Linked DNA regions of Rattus norvegicus. The main gene of each other region encodes a partner of the protein of the gene in region 3 in a complex. Links are inferred from orthologs where the notes say so. Each region holds a gene or a part of one and is shown on either strand. Other genes may lie near its edges.

Region 1 (5,555 bases), on a different chromosome or scaffold from region 3:
GGGCATTGAGTTACAGGCAATAGTGAGCCACCATACACAGGCACTGGAAACCACACTGTCACCCAGAAAGAGGGAACCTCAAGGAACTGCTTAATTGCTTAATCGATTGGCCTGTGGATATGTCTATGACACGATTTCTTTATTTCTGATACAGGAGGGCCCAGCCCACTGTGGGTGGTGCCACCCCTACCCAGGCAGTCTGAACAGTAGCTGAATGTGAGCTGGGGAGCAAGCCATCCGATGGTCTCTGCTTCAATTCCTGCCTCCAGGTCCCCACTTTGAGCTCCTGCCCTGACTTCCCCCTCATTGATGAACTACAACTTAAAAGTGGAAGTCAGACAAACCTTTCCTCCCCTAAGTTGCTTGTGGTTGTTTTACCACAGCAACAGAAAATAACCCAGGAGCTAGAGCGATGACTTGGAAGAGCTCTTGCTGTTCTTGACAAGGGCCCAGGTTCAGTTCCCAGCACCCACACGGTGGCTCACATAACTCCTTAACTCAAGTTCCAGAGGATCCAATACCGGCTTCTAACCTCTGTGTGCATCTCAAGCAGAGGGCTCATTTATACAAGCAAGTAAACCACTCATGATCTAAAAAAAATCACTTCCTAAAAGTAGGACACTCTTGGGGCTGGGGATTTAGCTCAGTGGTAGAGCGCTTACCTAGGAAGCGCAAGGCCCTAGGTTCAGTCCCCAGCTCCGAAAAAAAGAACCAAAAAAAAAAAAAAAAGTAGGACACTCTTAATCTCTGAGCCATCACTCCAGCCCCCTGACTTCTTTAACCCTGTTTCCAGGGTGTCTGGGACTTCCCCAGAGGAAGAATGTCACAGCCTCTGGGCCACAGGGCCCAATGTACTCAAGGATTTCCAGACTCTGTCCAATGCAGGCATCAAGAACTGGCAATGGTCACACCCATCTCTGGCTTACCTTCAAGCAAGGATGGACGGCTTTCAGCCAAAGAAAACATGTTCTCTTTTTTGAAAACTTTGTGTTTATTTTTAGGGGTGTGTGTTAAAAACCTGAGTACAGTGCTTTTGGAGGCAGAGCCTCTGAACTTAGAGGTACAGGGAGTCATAAGGAGTCAGAGGAATTTAGGCTGGGAGAACAGGTGTCGTGGTTGAGTAAGAAGAGCCCCCATAGGCTCATGTATCTGCATGCCTGATCTAGCTCTGCTTTGAGTGAAATTTCCTTGCAACTTTGAAAATCTGTATATGGGCCTTTATTCCTTGAATAAGAATCCAAGAACCAGAAAACACCAACACTGACCTTGCTCACCTGACACTGAAAAAATGATGGTAGGGGCTGGAGAGATGGCTCAGTGGTTAAGAGCACTGGCTGCTCTTCCAGAGGTCCTGAGTTCAATTCCCAGCAACCACATGGTGGCTCACAACCATCTGTAATGGGACCCAATGCCCTCTTCTGGTGTGTCTGAAGACAGCTAGAGTGTACTCATATAAATAAATGTAAAAGAGGGGTTGGGGATTTAGCTCAGTGGTAGAGCGCTTGCCTAGCAAGTGCAAGGCCCTGGGTTCGGTCCCCAGCTCTGAAAAAAAAGAAAAGAAAAAAAATAAATGTAAAAGAAAAAACAATGAAGGTAAGTTTATAGTCAGATTTTTTTCCCTCTTAAAAATAAATTTATTAATGTGTGTGAATGAATAGACATGTCACAGGTGTGCAGGTACCCAGAGTCCAGCAGAGGGAGTCAGAGCCTCTGGAACTGGAAATACAGGCAGTTGTGAGCCACCAACCTACGGACCACTCAGCTCCTCAAAGGAGTCATCCCTGAGCACTGGATTTTCTTCAGCACCCACACAGTAGTTCCCAACCATCTGAAACCCTTGTCTCAGCAGATCCAACACCTCACCACTGACCTTGAAGCTGAAACAAAATCCCAAATTATTATTTTTACAGTCTCGTTGTGCTGGCCCAAACTCAAGAGATCCACCTCTGTCTCCCGAGTGCTGGGAGTAAAGGTGAGTGCCACCACTGCTCGGCTTCCAAATGACGGACTTTTAAATGAATGGACTCAAAACAACAACAACAACAACACAGTCCTCAGGGTGGTTGGCTGGCAGAGTGCCGACTTAGCGTTCACGACCTGGGTTCTGCCAGACCACATAAACACATGCGGCAATGCTTGCCTATAACTTCAGCACTCAGGAGGTAGAGACAGGAAGGTAAGGAGGTCAAGGTCTGCCTCTCACAGTTTGAGGTTAGCCAGAACTAAGGGAAGGGAGGAAACAGGCAGGTGGAGAGATGCTCAGGGGTTAAGGACATGAACTTGCTTGCCCTTGCAGAGGATCTGAGTAAAGCTCCGGCAGTCTTACAGTTGCTCGTACCTCCAACCCTCGTGTGGCCTCTTTGGGGACCCACACTCATATCCACATAATTAAGAATAAATCTTAGAAAAAACAGTCTTCGGATGAAGACCGGTCATGTTCCTCTCCCTTGGGACATATTTATTGTAAGTGTTTTTCAGCTACAGCACTAACAGGAGAATCTGCAACACCTGAGGGCAGAACCCAACAACCAGGAGCCTCTTGCCCCGTGCACAAGCGGGGCCTCAGCTACCCTAGTTATGTCTGAAGAGCTTCAGGCCCATCCAAGTCCACAGGTGGAAGAACACGTACACCGGTACGGTGACCGGCAGAAGCAAACTGTAGAAGCACAGGCTGCTGGCGCTGGTACAGCCCTCTGGGAAGTTTTCTTCCACAGAGGCGGAGTAGAACAGGCCCGCCAGGGAGATGAGCGGGATGAGGACAGTCAGGGTGGGCAGAGACAGGATCATCCTCCTCCCTTCTGAAGGTATACAGTTCAAGAAAACTCGGTTGTTTTCAAAGTTATGTTCTTGTGCTGGTGCACTCCTGTCTTATCTTCCCTTTCTCTGGACTCCTCTTTCATCCAGGCATGCTTCCCAAGAGCACACAAAAACTTCAGCGGTCCCAGGCTGAGGGTGACGGCTCCTCAGCCTCGTTCTGATCCAATCCACCACCACACGAAGCGGTTACCAGCGACTGCAGACAACACACGTGTCCCTCGCAGCGCTGGCTAAAGGATTCCTTACTGTATGAGAAAAGTGCAAGATGACAAGATGAGGGGAAGGGAAAGGAAAAGAAGGGGAAACAGCCTGTACAGTACTGAGCAGGTTAAAGGCAGGAGGATTGCTGTCACTTGCAGTCTGGCCTCAAACATTGGGATCCTCTTGCATCAGTCTTCCCAAGCCACCACGCCCGACTAGAAAACAAACCTTCAAAACACTCAAGTGTCATCCATTTCTTTGGGAACTAAGAAATTCGAAAAGCAGAATGAAGGACAGGTGGACTGATAGTGTTTTCTCGAACCGAGGAAGCGGAATGAGACCTACAAATCCAGATTCACTTCAGACACCTGAGTGGAGGCTTCCCGTACGACGAGGACCGGCTGGGGACCAGCACCGGAACCCGGAGCCTCGTCACGAGCCGCCCGTCGTCAATGCACAGAGTGAAGACAGCGCCAGCCCTGGGCCCAGTCGCCTCGGGGACGCGAAGGGGCACCCGGGTCCCGCTGCAGTCTCTGGCTGACCGAGGGTAGCGATGGCCGGGTCGGAGAGAACCGAGCCAAGCCGGAGAGAACCGAGCCAAGCCGGAGAGAACCGGACCAAGCCGAACAGGGCAGAGGAGAACCCGGCCGAATCGAAAGTGAACCAGCCAGCCAAGCGGAACCGGAGGCGTCCGTGGCGCAGACGCCTTGCTAGCGCGAGTCCTGTCCCAGCCGGTTCCAACAGCTCCTCCGCCCGTATCGGATCTCGAGACCCTGAACTCACCATTCACTGGCCTGTAAATGTCCGGGTCCCGGCTGCGCCTGGCTGTGACCGTCACCGCTCTACGAAGGCGGAGCACCCGGGCCAGCCGCCCAATCAAATCCCTGAGGGGGCGGGGTAAGAAACCCAGATCCCGCGAGGGAGCCGATCCGCGCGTGCTCATTGGACAGCGCACCACGCCTTCGCTCCGGCGCTCAGGCTCCGCCCCCGTAGTCTTGAGTGACGGGTGAAGCCAGAGGGGTGCTGAGAGGACCCTGATTGATAAGGACCTCCCTGCCCCGGACCCCACGGCCTCCGGCTGGGCGTCCTGTGTGCCAGGACTGCTGGACCTTGGAGAGGAACGTATTTGCCGCAGAGTGTGTTCACGGCGTTCCAGAGCAGACCGGTGTCTTTCTGCGCTGAAAAGCTTTCCCCATTTCTAACTGATAAACTTGAAGCCTGAATCAAACTTGGTCGCAGCCACCATCACCCAGCCTCTGAAGCAGCGGGGAACGAGTCCGATCCGTCGTTTTACGTTTGAATTGGTGAATGTCAAAATAGTAGTTTGGGCCGATGAGAGGGCTCAGCGAGTACGGGCGTTTCCTGCCAAGCCTTAGTAACTGAGTTCGATCCTCGGGGACCCCCACCCCCACGGTGGAGAACCTATTTTCTTCTCGCATTGTCCTCTGACCTCCACGCATGTACTGCAGCACACCCGCGTGTACTCCTGCAAAAAGTGTAAAATGCAATTTTAAGAGAGAATGTTGGGGTTGGGGATTTAGCTCCGTGGTAGAGCGCTTGCCTAGGAAGCGCAAGGCCCTGGGTTCGGTCCCCAGCTCCGAAACAAAAGAACCAAAAGAGAGAGAGAGAGAGAGAGAGAGAGAGAGAGAGAGAGAGAGAGAGAGAGAGAGAGAGAGAGAGAGAGAGAGAGAGAGAGAGAGAGAGAGAGAGAGAGAGAGAGAGAGAGAGAGAGAGAGAGAGAGGGAGAGAGGGAGAGAGAGAGAGAGAGAGAGAGAGAGAGAGAGAGAGAGAGAGAGAGAGAGAGAGAGAGAGAGAGAGAGAGAGAGAGAATGTAGCCAGGCATGGGAGCCTAAACTCCTAATCCCAGCACTCAGTAGGCAAAAGCTGGAAGATTTCTGTGAGTTTGAGGTCACCCTGGTCTACATACACCCAGGTCATCGCAACTACATAGTAAGACGGTGTGTGTGTGTGTGTGTGTGTGTGTTGGGGGACGGGTAGTAAATGCTGTGCACAGCCACCGCTTTGCCTAGTAAGACAGTGTTGTCTCTGATCCCAGAGTAAAGAAAAATGAGACTGAGCTAGGATTCTATGCAGTACCACACAGGGACCGCCATCCCTTAATCTTCCAGCAAACTAAAAGATCAGAAAGTTTTTCTTCGCACAGGTAAGTAGTGGTATCGATTCCATGCAGTTTTTAGTGCAACCACAAGGTGGCAGAAAAGAGCTGAGGACAAAGCCATCCTATGGTTTACACAGAGCAGATATGAACATTTTTTTAAATTAAATTTTTAAAAATCGAAACAAAAAGTATCAAGATGGTTCAAGTGGTAAAGACACTCACTGCACAAGCCTGTGGAGGGACCAGTATTGGCACAAGACACCCAAAACCGAGTTCTGAGCACAGAGATTTGCCCCAAAGGACAAAGGGCAGGGAATGAATCAAAGACTGGATTTAAAGGATTGGGGCGGGGGCGGGGGCGCACAACAGAGAGGATGGTGACAACACAACAAAGGCCTGGATAGAGAGGAGATCGACG
Region 2 (6,485 bases), on a different chromosome or scaffold from region 3:
GTCAACAAGGACTTTCTCAAGATGATGAAGAAGATGATGACTAGTCCTGATTCTGTTGGTTGATCAGGATTGGCTAGGTGGTTATATTGTTCCACACAGCACAGGAATTCATTCTATCAAAGTAAAACTCAAGGTAAGCTGAAATGACCAGCATGAGTGTCATTCTTCAAAGTCTTTCTCCATGTGGTTCTTCTCATTTAACATCTCACTTAACAAGCTTTCAAGAGGAAAGGTTCCAACAGGGCATGGCCCAGTGCACAACATTCATGGAGCATTTGCTGCATCTCATTTGCTGAGGGTATCCTTGGTGAAGCAAGCCACATGGTCAAATCTCTGATTCGATGTGGGAGGGATTAAATACAGGTTATCAACTGATGGATCCTTTATTGAAGGCCACCAATGTAAAAATTTCTCACAAGGTTAGTTCTTGTCCCTAGCCACACATGGATCCTGCCAGTATTTATTATTCTACAAGAGCTAATCCTTGCTCCATGTTTTACTTTCACTTACAATGTCCAGGGCCTATGTAGCTTTTAGTCTTTATTAACAGTTTGCAATTTTGAATTTGTATCTCTTTGGGTCTGAAAAAGTACATACACACAGAAAAAAAACATACCTTTTCATTTATATCTGATTTTTTGATTTGAAGCAGAACAAGGAAGTGTGTCACAAAATAATGATTGAAAAATGTCATGTTTGCTGGAAATATGGTTAGCATCAAGTACATTTTCTTCAGCAATTTTTCTTAAGCAATTGACCAGTTTGCTCTAGTTCTTACTAATAATGCCAGTATTCTGGCTACATCTCTTCCCTATCTCTTTCCTGTATAATTATACAAAAAATCTACTGAACAGTCGGCATCTGCCTCTGTATCTTTATTCACTTTTTTTTCTTGAAAGGATCTTGCTTTCAACTTGTATGGATACGCCCTACTTCTTGTTTCATAGATGCTGGTAGATAGAAATACTCTTTTCACTGAAACTCTCAGTCTTTTCTCACATATTTCTCTTATAGCACTTAGCAATTCCTTTTCTCATAGACAGTTTCATATGTTTCAATTTCATCTTGGTTTGGAAATAGTACTCTTGCCAAATTTTTTCTTTGTGTACTTTGCATATAGTTAGCAATCTTTCACGACATGTGTGATGCCTCCCATTCTAAAATTATCCAAGGAAGCTTATTTCCATATGAATTTGCAAAGAACTAAATTTCAAGGGAAGATGATGTCTACATTTACTCGACATCTTTTCTTTTTAGGCCATTTGATAGTACCACTGGCATTGGATACCTTCATACTTTATCATCAGAAGACACTGCACATCAATGTTTTAGTGAAATTCTTGTGGCTTCCAAGAACGTTCTCTAAAGCAGTAGTTTTTAACCTTCCTAATGTTGTGGCTCTTTAATACAGTTCCTTGTGATGGTTCCCCTACCATAAAATTATTTTCATTGCTACTTCATAACTGTAATTTTGCTACAGTTAGGAATCATAATGTAAAACACCTTATATACAGGATACCTCAAAGGGGTCGTGATACACAAGTTGAGAGTCTTTGCTCTAAAGGCATGCTTCGAGGTCATTCAGGCAGAATTCTACAATCCAAATCACCCCTCACCCCCAGATTTATCTCTTAACTCTGCAACAACTTTCTTTTAAATTTTAGAAAATATCGTTAACTTTAGCACAAGCTCCAAATCAATGCCAGTCATGGTGATAGTGCTGTTGTTTAGAAAAGAATTTATTCTAGAAAGGGCAGGAATGGCCACGCTGGGGGAACTGCACAAGTACCAACTGTAAAGAGCAGGTAACTATAAGAACGATCACATAGATTCTGTCTTCTTGGCTAAGCACAATCTGGCTCCAGACCTCAAGACAGTTTTGGCTGACGATTGCAACAGGTTGAGAGGGAACGTTTCAGGTTATACCTAAGATCTCCCCACCCCCAGCCCACCCCCAAACACACGCACGTGCCTGGACTGTAGAGTTGTAAAACAAAATCCAAAATCTGAACTTTGGAAAGTCCTCAATCTTTCAGACATGTACAGATTGTAGATCTAAGACTCAACGTTGATAGTTTAGATTTGATCTGATGTGATTTTTCTTTATTTGCGTACTTGTATTCATTGCATTTAGCAATCTGTCAGAATAACAAGAATCAACGTGGTTGGTTCGACTGTGGTACGAACAGACTGGAAAACGCCCTGACCCTTATTTCCCCGCCCCCTAACCCCGCCCTCCCCGTTTCTCTAACCGGAAGGAGGCGGGGAGAGAGTGGGCTTCCTGAAAAGAGACGCCGTAACTAGGCAACCAGGGTACTTACGCCCGGGACCTTCCGCAGCTCTTAGGAGACATGCTCCTGCGCTCGCTGACGCTACACTCCCTCGTTAGACAGTAGGGGATGACTGGGCGTCTCTCTTCCACGTGAATTCAGAACCTCTGTGCGATTGGCTACTACGGGGGCGCGGCGCTCGGGTCGCGGACGCTTCTGATTGGTGCTTTGGAGCAGTGGGGCGGGATTCTGCTTACAGCCGCGGGAGGTCCGGACAGTGGCGGCCATGGGACTCACGGGTAAGTACGTGTCTCGTCTGTCCTTTCCAACGTTCTCGGTCCCTTCTGGACGGGGTTGGGCCGTTCTTAGAGGAGCGTGGCTGGCTGTGGAGGAGGTGAAGCCTACCCTACGGGAGGCCCAGAAGTCAGGTGCGAGGGTCTCCGTAGTCAAATGGGGCTATGGGTGCCTTGAGGGTTGGAGCTGGTTCCTAGGCTGAGTTTAGTAGAGCGAGGGATTGGAATCTTAGGACGTTTTTCCGACTCCCTTTGCATATGGCCAGATTTTGCCTCATCCTGGGGTGGAGGCTCATAGACCCGGGCTGACCCTCTTTGGCTCTAGTGCACCCGAGATGCCTCTCAGGGAGTCGTGCCTTGGGACTGGATTAAAGTATGATTCTCTTGATTTCTCAGCCCCGTCCGAGCTCCCTCTAAGGATCCTCAGGAGCTTCTACTAATAAGGGAGTTTACTGGCCATGACTGAGAATTTTGAGGACTTCTTGACTTTGTCATTTACGTTGCTTGAGTAGGGACGTTTTACAGTTTGCTTAACATGTATCGCTCGGAGAGAGAATTCACCAGATTTTACAGCCTCTCTTCACTTATAGAAGCCAAGATTCAGTGAGTATGCAATATGTTGAGCTTTGACCCAATAAAGATTTTAGATATAATAACCTGGTGGCAGGCTGACTCAGAACATTGGAGGTCGGTGATGGGTTTTCATTTGGTTCATTATTTCTGCTCTCCTTGTCATTCACTTCTTAAAACTAAATAGGACTAAGGTCCAGGTTTAGATGACACATCACAGTAGAACAGCATTAGCCACTGAGGCTTTGCTTTCTTTTGCAAACTTGATATTTTCTTGCTTTCATTCTTTGTTTACGTATTGGTTGTAAATTTGATCATCTCTCTACTTTTTTCCAGTTTATGTGTCAGGGTGCTCTCCATGTCTTAGCTGCCCTGGAACCCTCAATCATTTGATCCCTCAGCACATGCTTCCTTCTTGCCTCCTCACTCACTCGGTATTAATGAGACTATTTTAAATGTAGATGAATTTGTTGGACAAAGTCAACACATACAGTTGCCAGTGAGACCTGAAACTCAGAGTTTAGGATAGTAACTCTTGATTGAGTTCTTTGTAGCCTTATAGATCTCAACTAAGATAGATTTTTTGCCAGATCTCCAAAGCTATGGCATTAAAAGTTTAAGCATAAATAGAATGGAATATTGAATGAACACTTCATACCAGCATAGGTTTAGGGAACTCCTAAAGGAAACATTTCCTACCTTTAGATGTAGGAAAGAGCCCACATACATACATAGCCCGTGTCCCACTCCATTTCCTTTCAGAGTCCACACTGAAAGGGCACTTGTAGAGGAAAGACCTACATAAGTAAAAGAAGGATCCCAAAAAGAGAAGGGAGCAGTTTGAGTATAACTACCCTTGAATAAGGAAGGAGAAACGGGATTGTCTGCAGCATGAGCTCCGGGTAACACTTGAAGAGAGTGTTCTTAAAAAGTAAGTTCTGGTTCCGGTACATTTTAATGGAAACCACAAAGCAGAATCGTGTGCGGTGCACTGGATCACTAGCTAAGCTGTGTAGCTATCGTCAGCCCAGTTTCAGCGAAGAACCAGATGGTAAATATTTTAGACTCTGTGGGTCATATGATCTCTTTCAAAGCCACTCTACCATTTTAGCATAGAAGTAGCCATCCACATAAGTGAATGGGCAAGCCAGGTTCCTGTAAAAATTTGTTCATAAAAATAGACAATGTGCCAGTATAATTAGATTTCACATCCTAGCCTGTTTTAGTATCCTTTTCTGCCTCAAGAGCCAGAACAAAAGGCAGTGCTAAAAGACAACAGCCTTTTTGCTACTTTTCATGACTCTGGAATCTGCTAGACTTAGCTAGTAGTACTTTTATGCGTCTTTTCAGGGGTTGCTGCAGAAGGCTGCATTTAGCCAGTGTTCTGGCTAGAAATTGGGCACAGGTAAGAATGTAGAGGTAGCTGGGTCCCTATCTCTCTCCATGTAGCTTGTAAGCCCTTTTTCTCTCATTGTCTCCCCTATGCCCTTCTTAGCCCAGTAGCTGCATGACTTATGTGTTAACTCCATAAATAAAAGCCATCGAACCTTTCATAGGCCGAGGTCAAAGATTTGCATGTCCCTTTTACCATGTTCTGTGGCTTACATGGTCCAAATGCAAGGAAGATTCCTAGGTGCCGTGGTGCACACCTATAATCCCAGCTCTTAGGAGGCAGAGGCTGGGAATGCTGAGTTCAAGGTCGGTGTGAGCTATAAGCTAAAACTTGGCTTAAAAAGTATGTGAGAAGAGATGATCACAATAACCTGGCACAGTATGTTCTCTCTAACTTCTTTAAGCTTTAGACTTAGCATTTATACTATATAATTAATACCTTATTTAGGTCTATATGTGAGAAAACTTTGCGTAGCGTTGGATATATAGTGATTTAAAAGGTGATAAAGCTTAATAAGCCGATAAAAGTGATAAGAGAACCAGGGAAATATATGGGTATATGTTTAATTATTGGAAAGAATTGGGTTTTGTAGCAAACCATTATGTACTATGACATAACGTTTATTTCCCAGCTCAATGAAAGCATTGCAGAATATCACTTTTTGTTCTGTGACATCACCATGCTAAGCAAGTAAATGTTAAGTGAATAAGTTTATAGTGTGCTTTGCTTTTATTTCTAAGGGAAAAATATGCCTTAGCATTACAACTATTTCTAACAGGATATGAGATATGAAATGAGATTAGGTTTTGAGCTGATGTCCTGCTTTTCTCTTTCAGGTGACAGAAGACACATTTCTTAACAGGCTTGCTCTGAGAACTGATGCGTGAACCACCTCAGCATGGCCAATAGAAGAGGAGGTGGGCAAGGCCAGCCTCCTTCAGTGTCTCCTTCCCCCGGTAGCTCCGGAAGTCTTTCCACTGATAGGACCTGCACTCATAATATATGCATGGTGTCTGACTTTTTCTACCCAAACATGGGAGGTGTGGAAAGCCACATTTACCAGCTCTCTCAGTGCCTCATTGAGAGGGGGCACAAAGTCATAACTGTCACCCATGCTTATGGAAATCGAAAGGGCGTCCGTTACCTCACCAATGGCCTCAAAGTTTACTATTTGCCTCTGAGAGTCATGTACAACCAATCTACAGCCACGACTCTCTTTCACAGTCTGCCATTGCTCAGGTACATATTTGTTCGGGAGAGAATTACGATAATCCATTCCCACAGTTCTTTCTCTGCCATGGCCCATGATGCTCTCTTCCACGCCAAGACAATGGGGCTTCAGACAGTCTTCACAGACCATTCCCTTTTTGGATTTGCTGATGTCAGCTCGGTGCTTACAAACAAGCTTCTTACTGTGTCTCTTTGTGACACAAACCACATCATTTGTGTCTCTTACACTAGTAAGGAGAACACTGTACTCAGAGCAGCACTGAATCCTGAAATAGTGTCCGTCATTCCTAACGCTGTAGATCCTACTGACTTCACTCCAGAACCATTTAGGAGGCATGATAGTGTAATAACTGTTGTTGTTGTCAGCAGACTTGTTTACAGAAAAGGTAATAACATAGTAGCTTTATTTGCATTGACAGCTTTTTTTTTAAATTTCTTGTCAGAAACTGTTCAATACTTGTATGTGATGATTACTTGTCTTTTTATTCTGTATGGTGGCTTTATAATGACTGGTAATTCTTGCAAGGGAAGGTCAGATAATCAGTTTATACATCTAAGAAGAGAAATGGATAAAAGCGGCTATAAATGCTGCCCCAACCTTTGAGGTTGTAATGGTTACCGAACAAAAGAAAGCCATTGACCAGATGTCCTCCAATCAGATCTTTGTAAAAATTCAGAGATCTCTGTGCAGGTAAGAATGTGCTGTGTGGCCTTTTCTTGTTTGATCAC
Region 3 (6,241 bases):
AGATAAAAAGCATTACTTCATAGTATGCTACCCCTTGATACTTAGAATTGGAAATTACAACAAGCAGGGAACAGTATCACTTTCGCAGATGTAACCAGCTACTAGGGGGAAATAACTCATCCATTTGTACCTTTGACCTCTTCAAATTTAACCCACATCCCAATTACTATGACAAATCCAATGTTCCTTATCCAATACCCTTAGGACCAAAACCATTTTTTTATTTGAAATTTTTACGTAAAGGGTTAGCTCTAGAATAGGATCCATCCAAATACAAGGTTTACTTATTTCACATACACTTTATACACAGCATTAAGACAATTTTATATTTCTTAAATAAGTTTGCACATGAAGATTTCATGGCGTAGAACGTGGAACTTTCACCAGGCATAGCATTGGTGCTCAAAATTTTTCGGAGCAGACTCTGTAGCATTTCGGATTTTGAAGTTTTGCGTTTAAGACGCTCAGCACCAACATTGTACACAGCTCATCTGCTGCAACGATTCTTCAATACTAGAGGTGAGGGCTGGAGAGATGGCTCAGTGGTTAAGAGCACTGACTGCTCTTCCAGAGGTCCTGAGTTCAAATCCCAGCAACCACATGGTGGCTCACAACCATCTGTAATGGGATCTGATGCCCTCTTCGGGTGTGTCTGAAGACAGCTACAGTGTACTTATATATAATAAATAAATCTTTAACAAAAAATACTAGGGGTTGGGGATTTAGCTCAGTGGTAGAGCACTTGCCTAGCAAGCACAAGGCCCTGGGTTCAGTCCCCAGCTCCAAAAAAAAGAAAAAAGAAGAAAAAAATACTAGAGGGGAAAGCTGAGAACTGCACAATGAGGGAATTCAAGACGTCACAACCTGTCCCATCTTTAGACAAGCCGGATTGCCCCTTACCAGCAACAGAGCCCGATTACTGGATCAATAGAGAGCCGACAATGACTCAAGCTCCCACTCTTTGTGTTCCTCCCCCAGATCTCTGTGACTAAATCCCCGTCACTTTCTGTCTTTGCGCTTGGACTGTATCACATGTAGTCACGTCTTGCCTGCAAATGTGGCTGGCAAGCTGGATTAAAGTTGAGGCCATTTACAAAGTTTATTCATATTAAGAAGAATCAGAGTCACAGCTACTGTGATACTTTCTCTGAAATGCCACAGGTATGGATCTCAAACTGAGTAGAAACAATCATTTTCAGAGTGACATTTTGGACAGCTGACCTCACTGAGCACACTCGCTTGCTCCATAGTTTCCCACACTTGCTCGTATTGCCTCTCTGGTTCTCAAAGGCTATCCTCCAAGAGTAAATCAAATGTCACCTCTGGTTTCCTAATTGCTTGAGATGAACTCTCCCTCCAGCCTCTTTCAATATCTCTCAACGTTTTGTTTCTATGACATATAACTCTCCTTGAGTACCACTTCTGTAGTATCGGACAACAAACTGGATGCCACCATCTGAGATCCTCAAATTCAGGCTCTAGATATATAAAGGTGTTCCTTAGTACACAGATAAAAGGCTAAACAACTGATTGCACACATGTGCGTGTCACACGCACACGCACTCACACACACACACAAACACACACACACACACACACACACACACACACACACACGCCTTCATATTACCTTTGTCTTATGCTCTCATAAAAATCATGAGACAGGGCCAGTGTGGTGGCTCAACTGGTAAAGGCTTGTTGTCAAAGCCTGAGTTTGATGGGTGGGCATATATACTGAACATAGACCACCCTCTCTCTCATGCACACATACATAAGGGTTGTGGTTTTTTTTTTTTAAATAAGAGACGATGCAATAGATGTTACTCTTTTAATAAGCAGAACCCACATCACATCATTGTTAGAGGGAATAAAGGACAATAATTCATAACAGCACCAGAAAGCTTTTTAAGTCACAAGGTAAACTGAAGGGCAAACACCTTCCCCTAAACCCTTGGTTAAACTCTTCTGATCTCAGCTCTACCACCCAGATCAGCCTGCTGCTTTGAGAGTGGAACCCTGCCTTTAAATGTTACACTGGTTAGGTTCTAAGTCTTTTAACTTTTCTTAATAATGAAATGCAGGTCCCTAGGTTAGCTAAGGAACCTGGACAAGTCTTCCTTGATTTCTGCCTCATCCCAAGGCCCATGAATATTTTCCTTAAAAAGCTGCAGGTGAATGAGATAGTAAGGGCAGAGACAGGAAATGGAAAACAGCAGAAGAGCAAAGAGTATGGCTCCCACACCACTAATGGACAAAAGACCTCCAAAAGCTGAAAAGGCAAAAAGCAGGGTGACCCCGACATAGCTTCTTGGGGTATACGCCTTCAGTTTCTTCTGTAACATGGGCCACAGTGCAAAGATCTGGATGGCAAATGTCACCATGATGAAGGCATGTAGTGACCGGGGGAGGCGTGAGGCCAGGCAAACAGAAGCAAAGATGGCCATATTCAAGGACAGTGTGCTAGATACAATAGCAGCATTGGCACCGTAATCAAAGAAGATGAGATGGCCTAACAGCATAAAAACGGACATGGCGTAGATGGTGTCCGTACTGACGGACTCTGTCAGGGTCTTTAGCACTGGTGAGAAACCGTACGTGAAAGTAATGAAGACCAGAGTACTCTTCAGGTCGGCCCACCGGGTCCGCCCACTCTTCTTCCGTCCATCACCTCCATCAATAAGATCAAATAACACATACCCAACCAAGGACGATGCCAGTCCAGTCCCAAAAAGCCACTGGGGAGCCAGAAGACCCTCGTCCATGTACCACCAAATGACTACAAAGACACAGACACTGCACAGCTGTTGTATCACCACACTGGACTCAAATACCACAGCCCAGTATTGGTATTTCCGGGCATAGATGTTTTTCCGGAGCTCCTCCAGGAACCTTTGGTCAACATAGTTATCAGGGAATGGCTGCCGCTCATATAAAACCTTCTGCCACTTGACTTCGGAGGTGTCCGCTACATGTTGAGCACACATTATCTCATCCTTTCCTGAAATCCAGGCGGGCTCAATCTCCCTCAAAGATGCCCACAGGATTCTAGTTCTTGATAAAGTTGTAGATTAAGACCTCTCAGAAATGCCACGCTGATAGCATACAGAACTTTCCTTGTTTACAAAGTCTTCGGGCCAGGCTAAGCCTGCAATAGATGAGTTTGTTCCGTGAATCAGGACAACGCAACTAAATTCCTAGAAAAAGAGAGAACTGTAAATATATCAAAGCTGGGGATGTCATGGTAGGCATCAGTTACAATCAAAACGACTCTGCTTATTGAAAGCCTAAATAAATTCTGTCTAGTGACATAACGAGGCACCAAACCGTCACATTTTAAATTAGAATCTTAATCATTGATATCTGCATAGCATCACTGACTCAGAATGTTAAATGTCTTATTACCTTCTTTAATTGTCACAGCCTTACAAGTTAATACCAGTCCCACTTGACCTAATAAGACATCTGGGTTTAAAAACAGTAGAGTATTTAGGTCTCAGGGTAACAGAGTGGACCCAGACCTCCAACAAAAGTCTGGTGTCAAAAAGTCTGTGCTTCTGGTCATCCTTCGCTAAGCCAGTCTTAACTTGGGCATTCATATACCCTAAGGTGTATGAACATATTTTTGCATGATTATATTTGCAACTTATGCAAATTTATAGAAACAGAATCCATAGCTGTTACCAAGGTTCCCAAAGGCATCTGAATAAGTTATTAGTCTCATGACAACAGTAATCTGCACAAAACAGAAGGGTATGATCTCTACAGTTTTAGCCCAAACCAAGAACTCAATTCTTCTTTGTTCATTAGCTGAGCTCACCATCCTTTAAAGTGATATATCATCCTAATTAACTGAAACAGCAAAACTCTAGTGCAAGATCAAGAAAACAACCATCCCATTTTAGAATGGGAAAGTCAGAGTCAGAAACAAAAAAGTCATTCAGCAAATTTGAGAAAGAACTTCCTGCCGGACCTTCTTTATTTCATAAGAGGCCAGGATAGACCTTTACTTTAAAAGCCGGACACCCTGGGATCGGCCTTCATGCACTGGGACCTCTGGATCAGAAAGACCCGCGGTACGGAGCAGGGAAGGGTCTTAGACAACCACTCACCAAGCCGGCCTGCCCTGCCCGCCGCCGCCCCTCTCCCAGCCTTGGCTCAGCCGGAAAGGCCCGAAGCGAAGGACGCCGGAACCCACCTGCCCCAGCTCTTTAGGGGGTGTACGACCGAGAAGAGCAGCAGCCCTGCTACTTCTACATCCGGGACGCGGGGTTGGAGGGGACTACTGTGGAGGAGCACTTCCGGATTCGCACCACTGGGCGGCCAAAGCGTCCCTCCTGAGACACCGCACCGCGAGGTCGCTGCTGCCCTCTACTGGTTGCTCCTCCTGGAAATCTGCTTATAGTGGAATGCTCTTAGCCTAGGAGGCAAATCCCTCAGTGGGAAGCTGGAAAAGGGAGGAGTCGTGGGGCTGGTAGAAGAGTGCTAATAGTAAGGTGGTTGAGCATGTGTTGTCAGGCTCTCAGCCAAGGGACTCTCTAACGCATTCAAGCCCTCCTCCTATAAGTGCCAAACCAGGCTTCTGGTATGCACCAGAAGGAGAGAGAAAAAAATTCCCAGATCTCACATAGCGTTCTGTGCATTGATTTCCACAAAGACGATGTGGTCATTAGTTTGTATTTGTCCAAAGTCAGGCGGCTAGTTGATGATTGCAAGTAGATCAAAAATATCCAAATGCGGATGGCACCAAAGCTGGATTCTTTCCTAGACTTGGCCACCTAAAAGGGATGAGGGTGGAGGACCTGTGGGACAAGAGATTGCTGATTTTCAACTGGGGTCACAGAAGTATCCCAGGATTTATAAATAGATGGAAGCTCAAAGAACGAAAAGCATAGAGAATATTAAATAGAGTGGACACAAAGGCAGAAAGCACAAGCCCATTTATTAATATTCACACTATTTGGGTTTTGAATTTTGCATCTGTAAAAGAGAGAAGGCACTTACTTGTTCTTGGCCACTGTGTGGAATGGCTGAAGGACTCACGTGTAAAAATGTTTTATCGATTGCTGTGTCTGTCATTGCTATTAGCTTAGTTTGGTCATTGTAATACCAGCACTAGTCAAGTGTTATAACTCTTTTAATACTTTGCTTTTAATTATATCTACACATGTGTAGGTATGTGCTCCTAATTACAGGAGCCTATGGAGGCCAGAAGAGGGTGCTGGATTCCCTGATGCTATAGTCATAGGCAGCCATGAGCTGATATGTGGGTGCTGTGAACTAAACGTGGGCTTTTCTCGAAGAGGAAGGAGTGCTTTTAACCACTAAGGCATCTCTCTGGCCCTCTGACTCCCTTTAAGATTTATTTTTCATAAGTGTGTGTGATGAACTCTGTAAAATGATCTCTCTCCATTTCTCTTTTAGACTTTTGTTCCAAAATTTGACAAGATTCCTTGGCTTAGTGAGGCCAGCGTGGTAAACAAGCCGTTAATACTCAGCATCCCTAGAAGGTAATTTCCCAGCTTCCGAGGAGGAAATGTGTGAGAAGGAGCTCAGTGGCTGTGCTCTTAAAGGGGAGAGGCGCATGTGACCTGTTGAGAAACCAAGTTGAGTGCCCAAAAAAGAAGAAATTCCCTGGATTTCTCAGACTAAAGTTCTGCTGTGTAAGGCCTCGCTAGAATGAGAGCCTGCATGACCTTCGTCTCTGCGTGCATTATCACTCAAAACACATCCGCAGCTCACCTCCCCTGCTTTAGTTTCTAGTCTTCAAATTTTAGCTGTCAAAAGTCTAGACCTATAACATGCCATCTTCAGAGTGGCAGTTGCTGTATTTCACGTGGGGCCTCCTCAGGTTTCATGGGTCCCTCCCTCCTCACAAAGCCAACAGAGAAAATATTTCTGTTTTTGAAAACTGAGTGTTTATATGTAGGGGCATTTCAGCTTCCCCTTAAGATAATTGTGTTCTTCATTCAACACCCCCCTTAGTAATTCAATTGTCCCTGGGTGTGGTGATAAGACTTCTCTAGGGGAAAAGATAGGTTGTGAGATGATAGGGGGAAGTAAGGAATCAGGCAAGCCAGGAAGGTACAGAGACCATTCCACAGGCTTGTCATAGACTGGCAATGGTTGCTAGAAAAAGCACACTCTTGAAGAGTTTCTTTTCCTGTTGGTAATGGTCCTGCATCCTTAGGTCTGTGAGCAAATGACTACATAGGGATCTCCATACCTCAATAACACACGTTTG
Region 4 (6,187 bases), on a different chromosome or scaffold from region 3:
TTGAACAGTCAGGCTTGCCCAGTGGAGCTGTGCAGGGGCAGTAGAAAGTGTTCAGGATTAGGGTGAGGCCAATGTGAAGACCCAAACCAGAGGGTGCAGGCCTGGAGGCTGGGGACTCAGTCCAAACAAATCAACTTGTCCCTGCAGGAAACTTGCCTGGTCACTCCTCCCCTAGCTACACCCTCCCCCAACACACACACCTATGCTGTCTCTAACAACAGAGGCCTGACCTCAAGCCCCGAGGCCAGTTAGCCCCAGGTAAGAGGTATCATAATCTCTGTGCAAGGGGTGAGGGGCAAGTGGGGAGCCCTGGGAGGTTGGAGTTTGAATGTCTCCCTGGCTAAAGCAGAGGGGCTGTGTATGGTGATGGTCGAGGTGAAGATGGAGGTGATAGTGGTGAGGGACTAATGCGAACTTAGGCAACTCCTATGAAGGAGTCATCCCAGGGCTGCTTATCTGCCTCCTCCCCTCCTCCTTCTCAAGCCAGGACACAGCCGTGCATGCGATTTGAGCCTTAGAGCTAAACCTTTGACCCTTTTGGGTGCATAGTATCTCTCAGACTACTGCAGCAGACACCTAGACACCTGTGTGGTTGCTGTGCTTGGGGACCAGGTGAGCACTCAGAACCGGGAGGAATTGAACACACATGCAGCTCAGCCTTCCCCTCCACCTCCTACCTCACCTTAGCTCTTCATCTACAATGGGAGGGTGCCAGCACCCATGGGCCACCATCTGCACACATGGATGTTCCAACTCTTTTGCAGCTGCAGAGAAGCCGAGACTGTGACTGCTTGCTGCCCTGGCCTCCCGTCTGTCCTGACTCCTTGACCTCCTGGGCCACCCCTATCCCCAGCCACCTACCCGCAAGGGCCTCATCTCAGGCTGGACCAACTTAGAGATGCCAGTGGCTCTTGGCAGCCTCGGCTGCTGGGACGAATCCTGGTGCCAGCAGGGGCTGCAGGGAGCCCCCGAGGCCTGCACTGTTCCCCAGATGGCCTGCTCTTCTTGACGGCTGGTGCTGCATCTTGTGTCCATGTGCTGGATCTTGAGGGACGCTCCATTTGTCAACTACCCTGCTGCATTCCTAGAACTGGAGCCTTTGTTCCAGAGGATGTGGCTGTGACAGCTGCAGGGCTTGTGGTGGTCAGTGACCTCATCCACAGGGCTGTGTATGCTCTTCGGTACACTTCCCGGGAACCCCAGGGCCGCTGGGTGACTGTAGGCAAGTTCTTGTCCCCCCGAGGGCTGGCTGTGGATGCTCTTGGCCACTTCCTGGTGACAGACTACTTGCCTGGAACTGTGCACAGCTTCATGTTAGGACCAACCTGTGAGCCTCTTGCTCCAACCTCCATGCTAGGTCTGGAGAGCCCTTGTTGGGTAGGTCCAGGGCCTGATGGAGGCTTTGCTGTGAGTGAAGAGTTTGGGGATGTACAATTGTTTGGCAGTGCCCACCAGCCTCTGGGCTCCCTAGGAACCCTGACTGGGCACAGCTTTGGTCATCCAGCAGGTGTGTGCTGTGATGCAGAGGGTAGCATTATTGTGGCTGATGAGCAGAGGCAACAAGTGACTCTGTTTCCCCGGGTTGGGCCACCCATCTGCTTGCCGTTGGAGGGACTAAAGAGGCCCTTGGGTTTGGCCTGTGCACCCCAGGGCCCACTAGTGGTGGCAGATGCAGGGGACAACTGCATCAAGGTATACCAGTATCTGGGGGGAGATGGCCTGAGGGTGGGCTCTGGGGAAAATAGTCCGTTGCTATGACTGGCCGGGCCTGAGTCCCTTGTACTATCGTGGAAGATTAGTAGGCTCCTTGAGGGCTGCTGAGCCTTCTTCCTGACACCTGCTCTTAGCTAGCCTTGTGATTTCCTCTTGGCAAGTGCTCCTGTCTACACCGAAACCATGAATCACCATCTCTTGATCAGGTTCTAAATGGGGTCACCTTCACTTCCCTGTTCAGTATGCTCATAGTTTTTCATGGCCTGAAACCCCATGGGCCATCCAGTCCCTCGTTCTGCTAGCTTGGGTCTCAGGAGGCCTGAGCTCTGAGGCCACACTTGAAGCTATAGATCCTGGGGACTGAGGCTGTCTGCCAGCAGATACCTAGGCAAGATCTCCTGCCGAGTGCCCCAACCCCTACATCCTAATCAGAGGCAGGCAGGCAGGCAGGCAGGGTGTGGCTAGGCTGGGCTGGGCAGTTTAGGGGAAGGGTGTGGTTCCTTAGTGTCCCCCCGCCCCCACCCTCAGAAATATCCCATTCTTGAGCCTCCAACAGCGCTCTGGGACCAAAAGAGAAGTAAGGAGTAGGCAAATCAAAGGGGTAAGCCTTATATGTGTCCTGAGCTTTTGGGTGGGGTCCTGGGATGGTTCTGGGTAGCACAGGTTCTTTCATACCCTTCCATTCAAGACAAGAGCCTTTCCTCCCATGTTACAGATGAGATCTGGAAGTGGGGAAGGGCGTGTGTGCACATGTGTATGTGTGAGGAGCTTACTCAGTGAGAATCTGTGTCTCACCCATGATCTTCAGGTGGGAAAGAGCAAGAAAAAGGTGCTTGCTTTTGTCCCCTTCAGGGTGTGGGGTGGCACCCAGCCTGTTGTCTGGAAGTTGAGGTCACCACACAAGTCACTCCTCCAGGTTAGCTCAATATGTCCTGATCATTATGTTGTGGGGGATTAACAGACAATAAAAGAAATTTTGTTTGTAAGTAGATGCTCAAATTACTGCGTTGTTAGGGGAATTGCTCTCAGACTATGCGACCCACGGAGGTCGCACTCTACCCGCAATGTAGAGAGATAGTGGGCAGGGCGGGGGTTTAGGAGGCCAGGCAGGGTGTGGCGGTAAGAACAAAGCGGCTACCTGGATCCTCAAAGGCTGGATCCACCCGATCTTTCAGGACATTTACAGCGAGGGTAGCTTTGATGACAGGAGCCGTGCGCGCGGAACTCTCGGGCTCAGGCAGTGGACAGCCCGGGCACGTTTGGGGACCGGACCGTCGCGCGACAACGCGCGGAGCCGGCGGAAATGGTGCTGATGTCCCGCGGCGGGCCTGGGAGCCGCGAACACAGTCGTCCTCCCGGGCCCGCCGAACGCGGTGCTCAACCAAGTCCCTTCCCTACCGCCTGGGTACGCGGCCCGGGGGATCAGCCGGTGAGCACTAGCGGGGGCCGGGGCCCGGAGAGGAAGAGGAGGAAATCCCGAGGCAGCGCAGGCCTCTTGGTCCTCAGTGCCTGGTGCCTAAGACTGTGAGATAGGAAGCTGGAGGCCGGGGTGGAGGGAGCAGCGGCTACCGCGCAGCTGACCTCCAGGCTCAGCGGCACCCTTTGTGGGTCTGGGCTTGCTATCCCGAAATTGAGGGCGGCGAAAGGCCCCTCCTCCTCTCCAGGCGGGGAAATTGTTGAAAGATTCCTGGGGCACCGGCTGAGAGGCTCATATTTATCGACTCCAGTAAAAATCGGAAACAGATTACCCCCACCCTTTGAAATGAAAAAGGAAAGCATTTACAGAGGCAAAAATGTGTTTCTGGACAGATTCTCTTATAGGCTAGGTTGGCCTCAAAATCCTAGTGTAGCAAAGGATGACCTTGAATTTTTTTGATCGTCCTGCGGCCACCTTCGGATTACAGATAAACTACTACTATCGGTCTATGAGGTTCTGTGGACTGAACACAGGGTCTTGTGCAGGCTAGGCAAGCTCCCTACCAGCTAACTACATCCCTAGTAAGAAAAGTGGGGTTTTTTTTGGGGGGGGGGCGTTTATCTTGAACGTGTGGTAAAACCGAACCCTCTCAAAGATTCACAAAGTAATGTTTCAGCTATGATGTGTCCCAGGCCTCTCCTAACTGGGCTGTACATCCCTCAATCCTGCTCCTTGCAGGGGAGTAAGCAGTACCTCTGCTTTTGCTCAAGTCTGACTTGGAGTTCTGTGGAGAGACTTCCTGGGGCCTCTTATTTAGACCTCCTGGGAATGGGCTGTCCAGGAGGGACTTAGCAAAGGCAGCTTTTCCAAGCTTGGGCTGTTCTTTTAACCAGCATCTTTAAAGGTGTTCGCACAGCCCAGGTCTCTGCCTTCTCTTTCCAGCCTCTCACCTCTTGTATCGATCGCCTGCTCTTTCATTTTTTCCTGCTGCTGAAATCCCAGCAGCCCAGTGGAAGCACACTGCTTTTTACACTTCAGTGCTTCCGGAGAGGCTGAGTTGGGAGTAAGGGTGGGGATTTGCCTCCAAACTTGTTGAGTTCTCTCAGTGCCCCACAGATCAGAGCACCAACCTCTCTCTGCCTTCCACCTTCTTTCCTTAGACCTGAGCGCTCTCTCTCTCTCTCTCTCTCTCTCTCTCTCTGTGTGTGTGTGTGTGTTTGGGTTAAGGTAAACTATAAATGAAGCATGCTCTGTAGAAAGGATGTGCATAAACACAGTGTGCATACAGCACAGTGGATTTACACCTTGAACAGACTCAAAAACAGCCTTCACAACATCAGTTTATAATTAGACCAAGGGCATGTCTCTTCCCACCCTGTTGTGAACATTTTTCCTTAGTTCATGTGAAGTGTTCCCCAGAAGAGCCAGATATTTCGCTGAGCTGGTGTATCCTTACAAGGTAGTTGAACAGGAGCTTGGGCTGGGCTGAAGGGTCCCCTATGACAGTGGCGCACTGGGGCTCTTACAGGTAGAATGGCTCTAGTATTTTTGTTTTCTTTTTTTTTTTTTTTTCCAGAGCTGGGGACCGAACCCAGGGCCTTGCGCTTGCTAGGCAAGTGCTCTACCACTGAGCTAAATCCCCAACCCTGGCTCTAGTATTTTTAACAGTGCATCACTACCCCGTGTTGTGGCCTTCTGGAGACAGTTCCTACTGAAGGGACAAGAGAAATTGATTCTTGACACTGGCAATGGAGATTTGGCCTGGCCTGGTATTGGGCATCAGGTTTTCTCTGTGGACACCCACCAGTTGCCTGGCTCCTCCAGGCACTTTGGGGTTTTGTTTTACTGGAGGCTTCTGACTTGGAGTTCTATGGAGAGGCTTCCTGAGGCTCCTTTACTTGACCCACCTGGGAATGGCTTTTTCAGCCTCTGACTGTTCTTTTCATCAGCATCAACATTAGGAAATCTGACAGTGCTAGGTCCTGTTAGTCCTCTCAGCTTTGGGCTGGCCCTTTAGTTCCTATGAAACCCTAGGTCTAATCCTCAGTGTCACAAAAACAAAAAGCTTTGCCAAGTTGTTCACGTGACGGTTTCTTTGGGCTGGTATGCTTGCAGGGAGGGAGCAGAAGTATCTGGGTTCCTCAAGCTCTGGGCATTTGTCTTTAGGACAGCTACCACCACCACTTGTGTTACCATCCGTCTGTCCTCTTCTCTCCAATTATTTTATGTGAACACTAGACCTGGAAACCAGGCTTCAGCCCAAGATCTGGGCCTCCCTCAGGAAAGGATCCAAAAATGGGGGTCTTTGCTCTGGGTGTCTTTCACTTCACATGGGCAAGATGTGGTATTGACTAAAGAAATGCCTATGTAGGCACCTGGACCTTGCCAAACATTCCAGCAGTTCAGTCCAGCAGGCACAAGCGAAGGAAACCCACAATCTCCAAATAGCTCCTTTCTGTGGAGGGAAAGGTGTAGGGTTCACAGAATAAAGGGTTTGTAGCTGCTGTGGTGGTTCTTGATGCTCAAAGGTCACACCAAGGGCCTTTGAGGAGTTCAAGGGCTAGTGTCCCCTCAGAAAATGCATTGACATTCTCTCATGGAGAGAAATACTGCTCTGCCGGGAGCCCTGTCTTGGGGTGTCTGTCAAGGATTTCAGAGGTGAGTAGAGGGCAGAGCAGAGGGAGCTCTACTACAGAGCTACATTTCCAGTCCCTTCTTTACTTGCCTTTCGAGACTGAGTCTCTGTGTCACATCTCTGAGGGGAAAGGTGTCCTGGAAGTCTGGTGCCAAGGAATAGCACAAAGTCACACCACACAACAAGCCTCATTCAAGAGATTTATTGGGAAAGACAGAAGGCAGCTACCTCGTTTTGGGCCAGAAGTAGCCAAGAACCGTGAGAGGCAATCTTGTATAGGATTTCTTGGGAGGGTGGGGTGGTGGACCAAGTTTTCCAGGGTGGGGATTGGTGGGATTTCAAATCCTGAGCTAGGGACAAGCTCAGGGATTGGTGAGTTTTCAGCGGCAGGAGGACATGCTCCCTGTTGCAGGAGAGGCTCC
Region 5 (6,152 bases), on a different chromosome or scaffold from region 3:
GAAAGGGGGGGGGGGGTTAAGATTAAAGCATACAGGAATAGCATATACAGCGGGACTTAACTGGTGCAGAGGTCATTTATTAGTGGTTAGTGCTTTCTGATGGGTGTGGTCTGCCACAAAGACAGCTAAGCTCTCACTGTGTGAGAGGAGCCAGGGCCAAAGAAGACTTTCACTTGAACTCTGCAATCTTTGAACCTCAATTCTTTCTGCATTAATAAAGCCCCTTATCATTTTGATCTCCTTTCGTTCTGGGCTACAGCTGTGACTAAAATGAATGTTAAGGGGTAAAAAGTGTTAGGTAGACTGAAGATGTACCTTAGTGGTAGAGCATTTGTCTAGCATGAACAAAGTCTTGTTTGATCGTGCACGTGCTCACACACACACACACACACACACACACACACACACAGCTACATATGCCCTTGTGTCTAAGGCACGTTTATAACCTTTTAACACTTCTGAACTGAACCGTGGGATGTTTTGTTTTGTTTCTTTTATCTGGTCTCTTGCACCTTTTTACTCCTCTGACTCTCCACAAGAAAAGGGAATCACAGACCTAGTGTCTCAGGTTCCTATTCCTGTGACAGAACACCATGACCAAAAGCAACATGAGGAGGAGAGGGTTTATTTCAGCTTACAGTGTACTCACACACATAAATAAATAAATCTTTAAAAACAAACACCAAAGCAAAAACAACAAAAAACAAACCATGAATCTTAACAAGTGAGGTCAACCACACACCTTTGCTCACCCATTCTGAACAGAGAATGGTCTTTAACATTTTTCACAAGGTTAACCAAAGAACAAAAAGAAGCAGGTGCAGTGGCTCACATTAATCCAAGCACCCAGGAGGCAGAGGCAGGTGGATCTGGACTATACACTGAGCTCCAGGCCAGACAAGGCTACACAGGCCACACAGTGAGGCCCTGTCTCAAAACAAACAAACAAACAAACAAACAAACAACAGGCCAGAGAGATGGCTCAGCGGTTAAGAGCACTGGCCGTTCTTCCTGAGGTCCTGAGTTCAAATCCCAGCATCCACGTGGAGGTTCACAACTGTCCATACCTCCAGTTCCAGGTGACCTGATACCCTCTTCTCACTTCCTTGGGCACCAGGCATGTATGTGCTGCACAGACAAATATACAGACAAGACACCCATATACATAACATAACACAAGGACAAAAGAATATGGGACAGAGATCCACAAAGCCTAAGATATTAATTTGGCCTTTTGAAGAAAAAGCTTGCTGACTTCTGTTCAGATAATTATTTCTGGCTGGTAAATAGGAGTCAGAACTGGGCCTCTGATGACCCAGAAACATCTCCTTTTGGCTAATTAACTTCAGGTGTGGGGCAGTGTCTTGTAAGCAATCCAAACTGAATAAGCACTATGGAAGAAAGCCAAGGTTTATCAGATGCAAGATTGATAGGGAAAAAAAGGCTAGAATACTGTGTTACTGACTGTTAAGAGTCAAATGGAGGAGAAAGGGAAGAGGGAAGGAGGGAAAAAGGATGGAGGGGAGAAGAAAAGAGGGGGACAGAAAGACAGATCAGAGCACACGGCTGGTCCATGAAGACTTCCAAGGAAGCAGGCCCCAACTGGTGCAGAGAAGATGGTACACGCTGATGGGCACACTCTGCTCAAAGGGCTAATATACTGCAGAATGGAATAATGTTAACAAAACTGATCAAAGCAGAGGGGGTCAGGGGGTCAGTGAATGCTTAGGGGATTTTACCCATCAGCCTCTGTCAAGATAATCTGCCTCAAAGTCTGTTTTCCTGGTCAACATTCTAAGGTGGCACACTACTCAGCCGAGTCAGGTTAAGCCACAGTTGAAGGACTCCTTTGAGAGTTCTTCCCACTATTCATCACTTCCATGAAGATTTGGAGTAGGAGAACGATCTGAACCTTTGCACACAGAGCCCTGGGGGAGTCTTGGAGTAACGTAAGGGAACACAATTACTTCTGCATTTGGGGGACATTTGGGTGTCCATGCAGGAGAGTACAATAGGGAACTGACAGAACAGCTATGAGCAGGGTGTGGTGCACACACCTGTAATACCAGCCCTTCCCTGGGAGGGGCTGAGACAGGAGGATGCAGTGTAAGGACTAAACTACATAGCAAGACCCTGTATCTCCAAACCAAACAACAAGTAACAAATGCGACTGCCTGAGATCTGGAGACCAAAGTATGGCGGAAAGGGATTTCAAAGTCAGGCAGCTCTAGTTTGGAAGCCCAGGTTTGTCACTTTATCAAAGTCAAGACTGTATTACTCTTTCTGAACATTTCCCCCATCTAGGGGTGAAATAAGAAATTCAGGGAAACAGCTGGCCTTCTGGGTATTTAATAAATATCAGTTCCTGCTTACAGATAACCGCACAGGTATCTGGAACACAGGCTGGAATTAACATTCAACTGGGCATGGTGATGAATCCCTTTAATAACAGCACTCGGGAGGCAGTAACCGCTGAATCCCTGTGAGTTCTAGGCCAGCCTGGTTTACACAGTGAGTTCAAGAACAGTCAAGGCTACATGGTGAAACCTTAACTCATACCTCCTCCCCCAAAAGAATAAAAATCCAAGTATCTTACAAATTTGGGGGAAGGGCTAGGTCAGTTTAATAACTTCAACTGACCTGTGAGGAAACTTTTAAATATGAATTGGTAAAAATTAGGAGTCTTTTTAAAATACTGTTTATTTGTGTTTGGTTGGTTGGTTTTTTGAGACAGGGTTTTACTGGGTAGCTCTGGTTTGTTCTGGAGCTGATAATGTAGACTGGTGTAGACCAAGCTAGCCCTGAATTCACAGAGATGCTCTTTCCTCTGCTTCCCTAATGCTGGGATTAAAGGTGGCCCCACCACACCAGCCCATACCATTGACTGTGTAGAGGTCAGAGGACAACTTTGTGAATCTGTTCCTTCCTTCCATCATGTGGGTTCTGGGGATTCACCTTAGGTGGTCCAGTTTGGCAGTAGGTGCCTTTACCTGCTGAACCATTCCTCAGACCCTAAATTAGGGGACTTAATTTCATCTATGTCTATGCACATTATTAATTATACTCTGCCATGCACTTGGATGGCATAAAAGTGATTGGACCAGGTGTGATGACACACCCCTTTGGGAGGCAAAGGCAGGCTCTACATGGAGGCTTCCAGGCCAGTCAGACTACATTTACTGAGACCCTACCGAAATTATTGATGATGATGATGATGATAATAGAATGCGGTTCAGAAAAAGATTAAAAAGTCTGGAAACTGAGCATAGAAAACACTCGTGTCTTAAATCTGGCAACTCTTTAGAAAATGCACTTAAATTGAGGAAGGGTTGGGAGAGGGGAGGTAGTTGATGTGGGCTTGAGAAACAGATATTAGGAGGAGATATTATAGTGTACAGTTGTGGAGGCATAAACCTTTCTGGAATTCTGTCGAATGCCCGCTATCCGTTGGCAGTGTTAGCCTGTAAGGAGTGATGGGAGGAGGATGCTCTGAGTTCTCTAAGGAGGTATGTTCCATGAATGAGCATGGCAAGTGGTCCACTGTGGTAGAAGGTTTAGATGCACAAACTTCTTGGGGAGGGAAGGCAGTCCGGCCGCGGAACGGCGTCCCAGATCCAGGGAGTCCCCTCCCTCCCGGATCCACAGGTGAGTCCCAAGACCTTTCCAAGCAGCCTGCACCGGCCGAGCGCCGGCCTTTACCTCGCACAGGGTGAAGAGCCCGTAGGCCGCCAGCCACACCGTACAGGTGACAGCGGTGAGCGACCACAGCGACAGCCGAGCCGAGCTGAGGCCGAATTCGCGGCAGTACGGTGAATAGTAGCGGCGCCGCAGGGCCAGGCGGCCGCCGCAGATATCGGAGAAGCTCTTCTCGTCCTCCATGGCCGCACACGCCGGCCCGTCGTGCCGCTCTAGCCTACACAGAGGCTGGAAGTCTCGCAGGCTCCCGACTGTTCCGGAAGTGGCTCAACCCGGCCCTCCAAACGCTCCGCGCAGCCGTAGTCGCTCACTGAGAGCCGGCCTGGGGCTTGGAACTAGTTCTGCCAGTTCGTCCTTAGCCAAAACTCCCCAGAATCGCAGCACCAGTTTTGGACAGATTAATATTTCTGTTCACTCGACTGACTCATTTATGTTGTTATGCCAGAATGACCAACAAAAAATTGTCTGCAGGTATATTCATTCATTCATTCATTCATTCATTCACGCATTCATTTCCCTGCGAAGGGATTTTAGGTACTGAAGATTTCTGGCCCCATCTAGCTTCTTTTCTAGTAGGAAAAACGATATAGACGTAACCTAATAGTATTATTGACAAAAACGTTCAGAGCTTCAGTGAGAAGGACTGGGCAACTAAGTAAAGGTCTTCATCACTAACCTACAAGGGCCACATTGTTCGGTGGGGAGTTGGGGGAGAAAATCTCCAAAAAGAAGAACCAGGAAAAAGCAAAGCTTGGAGGCTGGAACCAGTTTCAGTCACAGGAATCAAAAAACTATCGAGGCTAGAATGCATACCGGGAAAGAAGGTAGGCAGAAGATTCAGTTTTGAGTTGGACAGATGGCTTAACTATTCAAGAGTATGTTGACCCTAAAGATGGCAGGAGAAAAAAACACCACTGTACTGACTGGTTTTATGTGTCAGCTTGACACAAGCTGAAGTAATCACAGAGAAAGGAGCCTCCCTTGAGGAAATGTCTCCATGAGACCCAGCCGTAAGGCATTTTCTCCACTAGTGATCAAGGGGGAGGACCCAGCCCATTGTGGGTGGTGCCATCCCTGGGCTGGTGGTCTTGGGTTCTATAAAAGAGCAAGCTGAGCAAGCCAGGGGAAGCAAGCCAGTAAGAAACATCCCTCCATGGCCTCTGCATCAGCTCCTGCTTCCTGAACTGCTTGAGATCCAGTCCTGACTTCCTTTGGTGATGAGCAGCAATGTGGAAGTTAAGCTGAATAAACCCTTTCCTCCCCAACTTGCTTCTTGGTGGTGATGTTTGTGCAGGAATAGAAACCCTGACTAAGACAACCACTCAAATCATCGTGGCCAAATTAAAGCAAGCTTTTAAAATTCACTACACAGGCTGCCTCCTCCTGAGATGGGTTTCAACTTTGGATGTAAAGACAGGCTTTTATAGCTCAGGGGTAGGAAGGTTTCCAAATGGGGGATTTGTCTGGTAAAATAGGGTTACAGGAGCAGAACAAGTATAGCAAGTAAGTCCCTTCTGGAAAAAAGACACACAAGGTAGTTTTGTAACCTTTTGAAACAAAGGTTGCAAGATGGTTATAAACAACTTTTTCGAAACAAAGACATGATTACATTCCTGGAACAGGCAGTACAGAACCATTTGTAGTTAAGGTTACAGGTGGGGCATAGTTCAATCCTTGAGAAACAGGTTTCACCCTAAACAAGAATGAACCTAGTTTGTCTTTAAAATGACTTTCAAGCCTAACATGGAGGCAGGCAGGTTCTTCAAGTACTTACTCAGTGAGGAGAGAGAATTGGGGGAACCACTACGAGACCCTCTTTGCCACACTTTCTAAAGTTTTGGTTAAAAGAACCAGACCATGTATTTGCATAGATGGAGTGCTACTGTGGCAGTTCATAGAAGCAATCTTATTTCTGATGATGGGTGATTATTTATTTCTACTGTTGAATTTATTCTTAGAACTTGAATCACTATAAATATGAATAACGGAGAAGCAAATGTAATCAAATAATTCCGCTGGCGACTCCGCAGGCCCAGACTGGGTTCTTAAAATCTTTTTTATGGAGCTCTTGCTTTAGTATTCGCTTAGACTTAGATTTCGTAGTTCTGAGAATACTGTGTTAGGAGCCTTCCAGGGGGCTCTGCACGTAAAGCAACCTGCCTCCAAGGCTAATGACTTGAGTTCGATCCATGGAACCTACGTGGTGGAAGGAGAGAACCAACCCCCACAAGGTGTCCTCTGACTGTCACAAGTTGACCAGCTGTGACATGCCTGTACCCACGCTAATAAATAATACTCACACAAATAATTTTATAAAGGAATGCTGTCTTTTTTTTTTTGTTTTGTTTTGTTTGTTTTTTTTTCGGAGCTGGGGACCGAACCCAGGGCCTTGCGCTTCCTAGGTAAGCGCTCTACCACTGAGCTAAATCCCCAGCCCCAGGAATGCTGTCTTATAG

What was found.
Region 1: Pigc (region 3) and Pigy share a complex: the UniProt entries of both Homo sapiens proteins name them as parts of the glycosylphosphatidylinositol-N-acetylglucosaminyltransferase (GPI-GnT) complex. The link is inferred for Rattus norvegicus from reciprocal best matches to the Homo sapiens genes PIGC and PIGY.
Region 2: Pigc (region 3) and Piga share a complex: the UniProt entries of both Homo sapiens proteins name them as parts of the glycosylphosphatidylinositol-N-acetylglucosaminyltransferase (GPI-GnT) complex. The link is inferred for Rattus norvegicus from reciprocal best matches to the Homo sapiens genes PIGC and PIGA.
Region 4: Pigc (region 3) and Pigq share a complex: the UniProt entries of both Homo sapiens proteins name them as parts of the glycosylphosphatidylinositol-N-acetylglucosaminyltransferase (GPI-GnT) complex. The link is inferred for Rattus norvegicus from reciprocal best matches to the Homo sapiens genes PIGC and PIGQ.
Region 5: Pigc (region 3) and Pigh share a complex: the UniProt entries of both Homo sapiens proteins name them as parts of the glycosylphosphatidylinositol-N-acetylglucosaminyltransferase (GPI-GnT) complex. The link is inferred for Rattus norvegicus from reciprocal best matches to the Homo sapiens genes PIGC and PIGH.

The regions. Positions count from the first base shown.
Region 1 is NC_086026.1:28,963,932-28,969,486, reverse strand, and holds Pigy (phosphatidylinositol N-acetylglucosaminyltransferase subunit Y), read right to left. Parts: upstream 3,063-5,555; 5' UTR 2,788-3,062; coding exon 2,572-2,787; 3' UTR 1,611-2,571; downstream 1-1,610. Other genes in the region: uncharacterized protein Pigyl1, read right to left, coding at 3,374-4,012, 4,248-4,457. UniProt on the Homo sapiens protein: Part of the glycosylphosphatidylinositol-N-acetylglucosaminyltransferase (GPI-GnT) complex that catalyzes the transfer of N-acetylglucosamine from UDP-N-acetylglucosamine to phosphatidylinositol and participates in the first step of GPI biosynthesis.
Region 2 is NC_086039.1:33,683,708-33,690,192, reverse strand, and holds the start of Piga (phosphatidylinositol N-acetylglucosaminyltransferase subunit A), read left to right. Parts: upstream 1-2,575; 5' UTR 2,576-3,166; intron 3,167-3,181; exon of another isoform or gene 3,182-3,895; 5' UTR 3,896-4,184; intron 4,185-4,191; exon of another isoform or gene 4,192-4,538; intron 4,539-5,362; 5' UTR 5,363-5,424; coding exon 5,425-6,142; coding exon of another isoform or gene 6,143-6,360; exon of another isoform or gene 6,361-6,485. UniProt on the Homo sapiens protein: Catalytic subunit of the glycosylphosphatidylinositol-N-acetylglucosaminyltransferase (GPI-GnT) complex that catalyzes the transfer of N-acetylglucosamine from UDP-N-acetylglucosamine to phosphatidylinositol and participates in the first step of GPI biosynthesis.
Region 3 is NC_086031.1:76,874,994-76,881,234, reverse strand, and holds Pigc (phosphatidylinositol N-acetylglucosaminyltransferase subunit C), read right to left. Parts: upstream 4,171-6,241; 5' UTR 4,110-4,170; exon of another isoform or gene 3,971-4,109; intron 3,195-3,970; exon of another isoform or gene 3,146-3,194; 5' UTR 2,985-3,145; coding exon 2,091-2,984; 3' UTR 1,815-2,090; downstream 1-1,814. Other genes in the region: C13h1orf105 (uncharacterized protein C1orf105 homolog), read left to right, coding at 5,422-5,507. UniProt on the Homo sapiens protein: Part of the glycosylphosphatidylinositol-N-acetylglucosaminyltransferase (GPI-GnT) complex that catalyzes the transfer of N-acetylglucosamine from UDP-N-acetylglucosamine to phosphatidylinositol and participates in the first step of GPI biosynthesis.
Region 4 is NC_086028.1:15,459,179-15,465,365, reverse strand, and holds the start of Pigq (phosphatidylinositol N-acetylglucosaminyltransferase subunit Q), read left to right. Parts: upstream 1-2,277; 5' UTR 2,278-2,314; intron 2,315-2,851; exon of another isoform or gene 2,852-3,142; intron 3,143-6,187. UniProt on the Homo sapiens protein: Part of the glycosylphosphatidylinositol-N-acetylglucosaminyltransferase (GPI-GnT) complex that catalyzes the transfer of N-acetylglucosamine from UDP-N-acetylglucosamine to phosphatidylinositol and participates in the first step of GPI biosynthesis.
Region 5 is NC_086024.1:103,626,250-103,632,401, forward strand, and holds the start of Pigh (phosphatidylinositol N-acetylglucosaminyltransferase subunit H), read right to left. Parts: upstream 3,911-6,152; 5' UTR 3,880-3,910; coding exon 3,700-3,879; intron 1-3,699. UniProt on the Homo sapiens protein: Part of the glycosylphosphatidylinositol-N-acetylglucosaminyltransferase (GPI-GnT) complex that catalyzes the transfer of N-acetylglucosamine from UDP-N-acetylglucosamine to phosphatidylinositol and participates in the first step of GPI biosynthesis.